Linked DNA regions of Oryzias latipes. The protein of the gene in region 1 interacts with the protein of each later gene in a biochemical or structural test. Links are inferred from orthologs where the notes say so. Each region holds a gene or a part of one and is shown in the gene's direction. Other genes may lie near its edges. The genes, in order: mcm5 and mcmbp.

Region 1 (4,473 bases):
AGTCAAACATTTTCTGTAAGCTTTCACAGGGTTTACATAATCTTTTACAGTTGTTTTGGCCCATTCCTCCATGCAGATCTCCTCTAGAGCAGTGATGTTTTGGAGCTGTCGCTGGGCATCACAGACTTTCAACTCTCTCCAAAGAACTTTTATGGGGTTGGGACCTGGAGACTGGCTAGACCACTCCAGGACCTTGAAATGTTTCTTACAAAGCCGTTCCTTCATTACCCGGGCAGTGTGTTTGGGATTGGTAAATGGTAAATGGCGTATACTTATATAGCCCTTTTCTACCTTCTTCAAGGCCCAAAGCGCTTTACAGTCACAGACCCATTCACCCAGTCACACACGCATTCACACACTGGTGGCGGCTCTGCTGCTGAAAACTGGCACCAACCTCCCACCAAAGGCAAGGTGGGATTCAGTGTCTTGCCCAAGGTCACTTTGACTGACCATACATGGCCCCATTCATTCTTTCCTTTACACAAATCTGTCGTCCTGGTCCCTTTGCTGAAAAGCAGCCCCAAACATCATGTTTCCACCCCCATGCTTTAGAGTAGGTATGGTGTTCTTTGGATGCAACTCTGCATTCTTTCTCCTCCGAACCGACGAGTAGAGTTCTATCAAAAAGTTCTATTTTGGTTTCATCTGAACATAGGACATTCTCCCAATCCTCTTCTGGATCATCCAAATGCTCTCTAGCAAACTTTGGATGGGCCTGCACATGTACTGGCTTTATCAGAGGGACACGTCTGGCACTGCAGGGTTTGAGTCCCTGGCGTTGTAGTGTGTTTTTGATGGTAGCCTTTGTTACTTTGGCCCCAGCTCTCTGCAGGTCATTCACCAGGTCCCTCATGTGGTTCTGGGATTTTTGCTCACGGGGGAGCCCACGGGGGAGATCTTCTGGGGAGTCATAGATGTCATTTTGTCTCTCATAGTTGATGTATACCTATGATGAAAATTACAGGCCTCTCTCATCTCCAGTGGGAGAACTTGCACAAGGCTGACTAAATACTTTTTTGCCCCACTGAACATATTCAGATCTTATTTTGAAGCAGAACAAAGACAAAAGAGGTGCTAGAAGGCTGAAGCGTCATCCATCAGCAGCTGTAATGTTTTCCTATTAGGTTAACACATTTCACATTTAAGTTGCCTTATCATTGATAAAAATGTAACTTTATGTGGAAAAAGTTGCTTTAATTAACTCAAAATAAACTGTGCTTGCATGGGTTTCACTGTCTCACTTCAAATTCTACATCTAGGAGAAAATGTGTCATTAGGTTTCTCTAAGCTCGTGGCCCTTCTTTGTTATTTTGCTTTTCTGCTGTCGCCATGCTTCAGAAGCTCCTCCTCTTCTGTTTTTCGCGCCATCGCGACTCAGCGCCCCGCCTTCAGCTGAAGAGTTCGCCCATATCTACATGTTCGACAAATAAAGAAAAGCTATGTTTGAACCTGACCAATCAGAGTCTAGGAAAGGGGCGGAACTAGCAGAGAACCCGCGGGAAACAGAAAGGAAGACGCTTCAGTTTTTCCCGCGAAACGTCGTCACAAAGTCGGGTCCTTCCTGTCTGTTTGGCTCCAGAAAAGCACAACTTTTGGTGTCAGCTTCAGCCGCTTCAGCATGTCTGGCTTTGACGACCCCGGCGTTTACTACAGCGACAGCTTCGGCGGGGGAGAGGGACCCGGCGGGGACGAAGGTGGACAGAAGCGGGTCCAGATCAAGAAGCGGTTCCGAGAGTTCCTGCGTCAGTTCAGAGAGGGAACTGACCAAACCGGGTTCACTTACAAATACAGGTCAGGCTCCTTATGAACTCAAAGCGGTTCTCAAATCTGCATCTACTTTCAAAGTAAACGATAAGTGAAGTGGTGCTATATCACGAGGCAGTTGCATTATGGGAAATGTAGTTATATGATTAAAACATCTGCTTTAGAAGCTCAAAAGTCCTGATTGTCTCCTGTTGTTCCGCAGAGATGAGCTGAAGCGACATTACACTTTGGGGGAGTTCTGGTTGGAGGTGGAGGTGGAGGATCTTGCCAGCTTTGATGAAGATCTGTCTGACTGCCTTTACAAACTTCCTACTGAGAACCTGCCGTTGGTGAGTATCCTAGTTCACATTTTTATGCGGTCATGAAAGTCTGACTCACGACTAATGTATAGATAAAACGTATCTCTTAAGCTGGAGGAAGCAGCTAAGGAGGTGGCCGATGAGGTGACCCGACCCCGACCTGTGGGGGAGGAGGCGGTGCAGGACATCCAGGTCATGTTGAAGAGCGATGCCCACCACACATCCATCCGGAACCTGAAGGTACCTTAGGACCCTGCTGTGCCCGACGTTGCAGTCATTCCACACATGGATCACCTTTCTGTGTGTCTTTCCAGTCGGAGCAAGTGTCCCGTCTGGTGAAGGTCCACGGCATCATCATTTCTGCCACAGCAGTCAAGGCGAAGGCCACCAAGGTGTGCCTGCAGTGCCGCGGTTGCCGCAGCGTCATCCCCAACATCCCCCTGCCTCCGGGCCTGCAGGGTTACGCTCTGCCCAGAAAATGCAACAGGTGAGGAATCGCATTCCGGTCTCAGGTTGACCCTGCTAGACGACTCAGCCTCAAAACGACCTTCTGTGTTTTCAGCGAGAATGCTGGCAGAGTGAAGTGTCCCATGGATCCATACTTCATCATCCCGGACCGCTGCGTGTGCGTGGACTTCCAGACGCTCCGCCTGCAGGAGTCTCCCGATGCTGTGCCGCACGGAGAGATGCCGCGCCACCTGCAGCTCTACTGCGACAGGTAGCCATGGAGATCACCGGAGTCTGCTGCTCCGTTGCTTTTGCGGCACGCCACTGAGGTTTTCCTCCGTCCCCAGGTACCTGTGTGACCGCGTGGTCCCGGGCAACCGAGTGACCATCATGGGCATCTACTCTATCAAAAAAATGGCTGCTGTAAAGGCCAAAGGCAAAGAAAAGGGTATCGGCGTGGGAATTCGTTCATCTTACCTGCGAGTCGTTGGCATCCAGGTGGACACGGAAGGAGCAGGTAAAGATCCCGATGACAGGGTTGGTTGTGAGAAGCACATTGTTAGGTTTGGGGGGTCATTTTATCTTCTTGTTTCTTGGCTGCAGGCCGCGGCGCCACCGGACCCGTCTCTGCACAGGAGGAAGAAGAGCTGAGAGCGTTGTCTACCTCTCCCAACATCTACAGCTCCCTGGCGCAGTCCCTCGCTCCCTCCATCTATGGCAGCGACGATCTGAAGAAGGCCATCACCTGTCTGCTGTTTGGAGGCTCGAGAAAGAGGTACGGCGATAGAACGGTTTATTTCTTCATTTTTGTTGCTGCTGCAACGATGTTGTTTTGAAGCTAAGAGTCTGTTCTTGTGTCTGTTAGGTTACCTGACGGTCTCACGCGCAGAGGAGACATCAACCTGCTGATGCTTGGAGACCCTGGAACAGCCAAATCCCAGCTGCTTAAGTTTGTGGAGAGATGCTCACCGATCGGGGTATTTGTTTGTGTTTTTTTTTTTTTTTAATTATCCGGAGGGAAAAAAGTTCTGATGCTGACTCTCACTTGCAGGTTTATACATCAGGTAAGGGCAGCAGTGCAGCTGGGCTGACCGCCTCCGTGCTGAGAGACCCCAGCACTCGTGGATTCATCATGGAGGGAGGGGCTATGGTGCTGGCGGATGGTGGTGTCGTTTGCATTGATGAGTTTGATAAGGTAGGTCCAGGGTGAGCTGGGGGGCAGCATCGGGGTTGCTCGTCCTTCAGGCTGTTTTTCTCCTCAGATGAGAGAAGACGACAGAGTGGCGATCCACGAGGCCATGGAGCAGCAGACCATCTCCATCGCTAAGGTAACCGCCTTAAGTTTGACCTCCTTATTGGGCTTCATTGGAAAAATGCTAATAGTCTGCGGCCTTTAGGCTGGAATCACCACCACCCTGAACTCCCGCTGCTCCGTGCTGGCGGCGGCCAACTCTGTGTATGGCCGCTGGGACGACACCAAAGGCGAGGACAACATCGACTTCATGCCCACCATCCTGTCCCGCTTCGACATGATCTTCATCATCAAGGACCACCACGACCAGCAGCGAGACATGGTGAGAGGACGCGACGGGAGGTTTGATGCTTCAATTCTCTTTAGTGCTTCCGCTGACTTTGCCGCCTGACTCTGCTCGCAGACGCTGGCTCGCCACGTGATGAACGTCCACCTGAGTGCGCAGACGCAGACGGAAGGAGTCGAGGGCGAGATTCCTCTCGCCACCTTTAAGAAATACATCGCCTACGCCAGAGCGTGAGTCACTCATTCTGCAGCCAGACCGCTTTAAAGTTTAGTTTCCTGTGGATTTTGTGGAGTAAAGAGTGTGTTCTGCGTGTTCCCTCACAGTAAATGTGGCCCCCGACTCTCCGCGGCAGCTGCTGAGAAGCTGAAAAACAGATACGTGGTGATGAGGAGTGGCGCCCGAGAGCATGAAAGGGAGTCGGACAA
Region 2 (4,596 bases), on another chromosome or scaffold:
GACCCTGGCGGGGAGAACATCTGAGGTGGGGGGCTGAAAGAGGTCGGAGCCTGCTGGGGTGTGTGAGGTGGGGGCAGGATCTCTGGAGCTGGAATGTAAGGACTGGCTCTGCTGCTGGACGCCGTGTGGCGGTACGGGTTGTGATGCTGCGGCTGCATCTGAGCAGGAGGCGGGGTCATCGTTGTAGGGGGAGGAGTCTGTCGTCCCAGCGGACTCTGGTAAACAGCACTGCCAAACGTTGAGGGAGGGGGGTTCATTTGTGAAGCTGTGGATGGCGGAGACATGGCGATGCTGCTGGGAAAAGAAACGGGTCCAGCAGCGGTTAAGGTCGAGGAGCGTCCTGCTGGCGGGCATGGTGACTGACCAATACTGGCAAAGGGGTCAGAGGTCGTTACGGGGTTGGAGAAGTAGCTGAAGGTGGAGGAGGCCGCCGGCGGACCGTTGGCCGAGGTCTGACCCAGGAAACTGTCTTCTTCTCCAACGTCAGTAGAGTCTTCTGATGGACACAAAGACGGGTCAACGTTTTCTGACACTGAAACTGCAGGTCAGGGTTTCTGTGAGGCTTCTCTAAACATCAAACTTCAGGAGTGAAGCTTCACCGCCGTCCACAACATTTCCAGCTTTCTCCATATGATTCTAAACTTTTATGAGCACCATGACATCCTGTGTGATCCTTTCCTAAGTGGAAACGATCAAACAGGATGTTATCGAGTGGTTTTCAGGCAATAAGCATGTTGACTTCACTAAAATACATGTATAATATATAAATAAAATAAATCTCTAAAAGACAGATTCCAGCATTTTAACAACAACATTGTTTTAAATCTGAACAAAGTTCATCCATTTACAACTCTTCACTAAAAATGTTTAAACTGACTCATTTTCTTTTAACAAAAGCAGATCCAGTGTTGCAGATAAAACGCGTCACTTTTTCATCTTTTCTCTCAATCTGAGGGTTTTTAAAGGCTGAAGCAGCACAGCTAGCTAACCGGCTAGCTTAGCTAGCTAGCTCTCGCCCTGACAACATTCGGACCTCCGTCCGCGGTTCCGCTCACCTCCTGACAGCACCGCCGGGCCCGACGCCTGACTCACCGGCATGAAAGGCAGGTTAAAGCTAAAGTCTGGAGCGGCACTAAAGAGTAAATTCGCGCTGCTGTCGGGACCACTGTTATTTTTTCTATCTGCCATTTTCAGCTGGATTTACACGTAGCCACAACCGGACCAGGCTGGCAGTAAATGCGAAAGAAACGTCTCCTGACGTCACAGTTTTCCCCGATCTCCAACACTCACGCGACACTAGATTTCAGTAAACATCTTAGCAGATGTTTTATAAATCTTCGAAACATACCCGATTGGCTTGACCCGAGGGGATCAATGTTTTTGGTGCTGCCATCTAGAGGCCCGGATGATGATTCAAACTCCTTTGGTTTTTTTTTTGCACCTTTTTTCTTCTTTTGTCAGAACAAAGTAAAATCTCGTGAGAGATAACAAATTTCTACTTAATTTGTAACGACTTCGGAATCCAAACCAGTTTTTAGGGCGGTGAACAAAAGCAAAAAGTTGCTTGTGGCTCCGCGCTCCGGTTTACTCCGGTTCTCGAATCAAACCAACCCCCTCTTGGTGCGCAGTGACGCAAATTTCGCGCCTCGCTTCTGCAATCCCGAGTGAGTGAAAAACTTATCGGAGAAGTGAAGCCGCGCGGGTTTTCCTCGCACGTTTGTCTTTGATTCCACGGGTTCAGTGGCCGGTTAGCGATGCTTTCCACGCAGGACTGGATTCACGCACCTCTCGGTGTTGTTGAAGAGAAGTTTGGTGAGAAACTTCCCTCCACAAACACTTAACGCCTCAGACTAGCTCGTTAGCCGCGCGCGCGTCCAGCCGCCCTCACATGGAGCTTTTTTTTTTTCCTTTACAAACTTTATTAAATGTAACATTTCAATACACAACAATGCAAAACAGCAACAAGAAAGGAATAAACCAGGTGGTTATTATTACATTTCACACAAAGACACTGAAACTGACGCACTGGTGCCGCTGCCCGCGGTGCATCAGTTTAAAACTTTATTGACACAGTCGGTGGACATAGACGAGAATCGGGCGCGCGGAAACCTTTACTGACTGTAGAAATGTCGTTCGGGGTTCGTCAACTTTTTGTTAGATCTAAAGACGTTTTTGTTTTGTCATACTGGTTCTTTTGAAGTGACTTCATATATACAGTCTCTGATGATGACGAATTCCTTCATGAAGAACGAAACCAACAATCTTGAAGTTCATTAAACATTTACTTTATTTCATTTTTAATGCCAATGTGTTTGTTATTTTAACATTTTTTTTAAACGATCGAATAAAATGACACATTCACACATGTTAATATAAAATGCAAACCGTAGTTTAAACCTTCAGCAGCATTCATTTGCTGCCGGAAATGACGTCTTCCTTTGATGCTGCAGCGGCTGCGCAGAAGGGTTCCTCCCCCGGGTGGGAGGCGGAGGTGGTGGAGTTTTTTAAGGAGCAGCTGAAGGAGAAGAGCGCTCAGAGTTTGGTGAGGAGAGTCCTGCAGACGGCGTCTTCACCGGCCGTCCGGTTCTGACCTTGTCCTTTTCTGGACCAGGTTCCGTCTCTCAACGACGTTCCCCTGCATTACCTGAAGCCCAACAGTTTGGTGAAGTTTCGCTGCTTCATCCAGGACATGTTTGACCCGGAGTTCTACATGGGAGTGTATGAGACTGTGGACGGACCCACGGATGCTAAAGTGAGTGTGCCCCCCCCCCCCCCCCCACATCTCTAGCATCAGCTGACCCCCCTCCCCCTCATTTGTCCTGTTTGACCCCCAGATGCTGCACTGTGGGAAGTACAGGGATGTGGCAGAATGTGGGGTGAGTCTGCATCCTGCTGCTGTCCTCAAAGGTGGTGCAGCCGCTTCAGCTCAGCTGTTGGTTTGAATCCCAGGTGGACTTTAACTCCAAGAACACCGTGACGGCAGAGCGGCAGACCTTCTACTGTGTGCCCATTCCTGGGGAGAACCTGTGGGTGAAGGACATATCCTGGGATCAGGGATCAGGTTCTCTGATGACAGTGTGAACAGTTGTGTGTTGTTCCTTAACCTGAGAGCACGGATATGCGGGCAGCAGCCAGGCGCGCGTGGTGGCGTCCACCTCCTACGTGCCGAGCAGGCAGAAACGCAGCTACGAGGAGGACGAGGACATGGACACGCAGCCGCAGAAGCAAGCTCACGCAGGTGTTTGTCTTCGCCGTCTGCTGGGTGTCGAACCTTAGGCGTCCTCCCCCCTCAAACGTTCTCCAAATATTTCTGCAGGTCTTCAGGGTCCAACGGACCTGCAGAGCAACGCCGACTGTAAGCGTCAAGAGACGGAGGCTCCTCCCACCCAGGCGGCGTCCGCATCCCACCTCGACCTCAACTTCCCCCTCCCAGGAGAGAGGGGCCCCGCCTGCCTGGTGAAGGTTGGAGCTGGACGAGCGCGTTGGTGGCTCCGGTGGGAACCCTGATCCTCAGGCTGTGCTCGTTGGCAGGTGTACGAAGACTGGGAGAGCTTCAAGCTGAACGACGCCCTGGAGGTTTTCGGGATCCTGTCCGTCAGTCCCGCTCTCAGCGCCCTGGCGGAGGAGAGGTGAGGCCCTCGCTTCGTAGCCCCGCCCCCTGTCTGCGTGCTGCCCGTCTCACCGCCTTTCTTCCTCGCAGAGACGCCTCCTCGTCCTTCCTGGACCCCACGGAGGGCATGGAGACGGCGGAGGAGCAGCGTGTGCACAGCCCGCCGGCCTCGCTCGTTCCCCGGCTTCACGTGCTCCACGCCAAACCGCTGCAACACAACAACCCGCTGCTGCCGCACGCAACCTCGGACGACAACGGCGCCTGTAAGGACGCGTGTTTTTGTAGAAACAGAAATGATTCCAGACTAGAAGAAAACGCCGAAACACCAAAACCAGTAAATTCTGTCGCTTCCGTGGAAATTCATCAGCATCACGCAGGAACTCAAGACGTTTGACCTGGAGGACATCTGCCCCCCCCCCTGCTCCACCCTCCTTACACGTCTGCCCCCCCCTTCTCCACCCTCCTTACACGTCTCCCCCCCCCCGCTCCACCTCTTACACATCTGCCCCCCCTGCTCCACCCTCCTTACACGTCTGCCCCCCCCCCTGCTCCACCCTCCTTACACGTCTGCCCCCCCTGCTCCACCCTCCTTACACGTCTGCCCCCACCTGCTCCACCCTCCTTACACATCTGCCCCCCCTGCTCCACCCTCCTTACACGTCTGCCCCCCCCCTCCACCTCTTACACATCTGCCCCCCTTGCTCCACCTCCTTACACGTCTGCCCCCCCCCGCTCCACCCTCCTTACACGTCTGCCCCCCCCGCTCCACCTCTTACACGTCTGCCCCCTCCTCTCCACCCTCCTTACACGTCTGCCCCCCCTCCTCCACCTCTATACATCTGCCCCCCCTGCTCCACCTCTATACATCTGCCCCCCCGCTCCACCTCTTACACATCTGCCCCCCCGCTCCACCTCTTACACGTCTGCCCCCCACCTGCTCCACCCTCCTTACACATCTGCCCCCCTGCTCCACCCTCCTTACACGT

Evidence for each region.
Region 2: the proteins of mcm5 (region 1) and mcmbp form a complex in vitro, tested with the Homo sapiens proteins (2 studies listed by BioGRID). The link is inferred for Oryzias latipes from reciprocal best matches to the Homo sapiens genes MCM5 and MCMBP.

Annotation. Positions count from the first base shown.
Region 1 is NC_019866.2:21,037,933-21,042,405, forward strand, and holds the start of mcm5 (DNA replication licensing factor MCM5), read left to right. Parts: upstream 1-1,464; 5' UTR 1,465-1,618; coding exon 1,619-1,791; intron 1,792-1,966; coding exon 1,967-2,093; intron 2,094-2,174; coding exon 2,175-2,303; intron 2,304-2,377; coding exon 2,378-2,550; intron 2,551-2,625; coding exon 2,626-2,781; intron 2,782-2,857; coding exon 2,858-3,027; intron 3,028-3,113; coding exon 3,114-3,285; intron 3,286-3,375; coding exon 3,376-3,487; intron 3,488-3,561; coding exon 3,562-3,705; intron 3,706-3,772; coding exon 3,773-3,838; intron 3,839-3,907; coding exon 3,908-4,084; intron 4,085-4,165; coding exon 4,166-4,278; intron 4,279-4,371; coding exon 4,372-4,473. UniProt on the Homo sapiens protein: Acts as a component of the MCM2-7 complex (MCM complex) which is the replicative helicase essential for 'once per cell cycle' DNA replication initiation and elongation in eukaryotic cells.
Region 2 is NC_019873.2:29,884,367-29,888,962, reverse strand, and holds the start of mcmbp (mini-chromosome maintenance complex-binding protein), read left to right. Parts: upstream 1-1,601; 5' UTR 1,602-1,754; coding exon 1,755-1,812; intron 1,813-2,450; coding exon 2,451-2,542; intron 2,543-2,611; coding exon 2,612-2,752; intron 2,753-2,834; coding exon 2,835-2,876; intron 2,877-2,949; coding exon 2,950-3,039; intron 3,040-3,114; coding exon 3,115-3,238; intron 3,239-3,316; coding exon 3,317-3,462; intron 3,463-3,531; coding exon 3,532-3,629; intron 3,630-3,700; coding exon 3,701-3,873; intron 3,874-4,596. Other genes in the region: sec23ip (SEC23-interacting protein), read right to left, coding at 1-496, 1,056-1,188. UniProt on the Homo sapiens protein: Associated component of the MCM complex that acts as a regulator of DNA replication.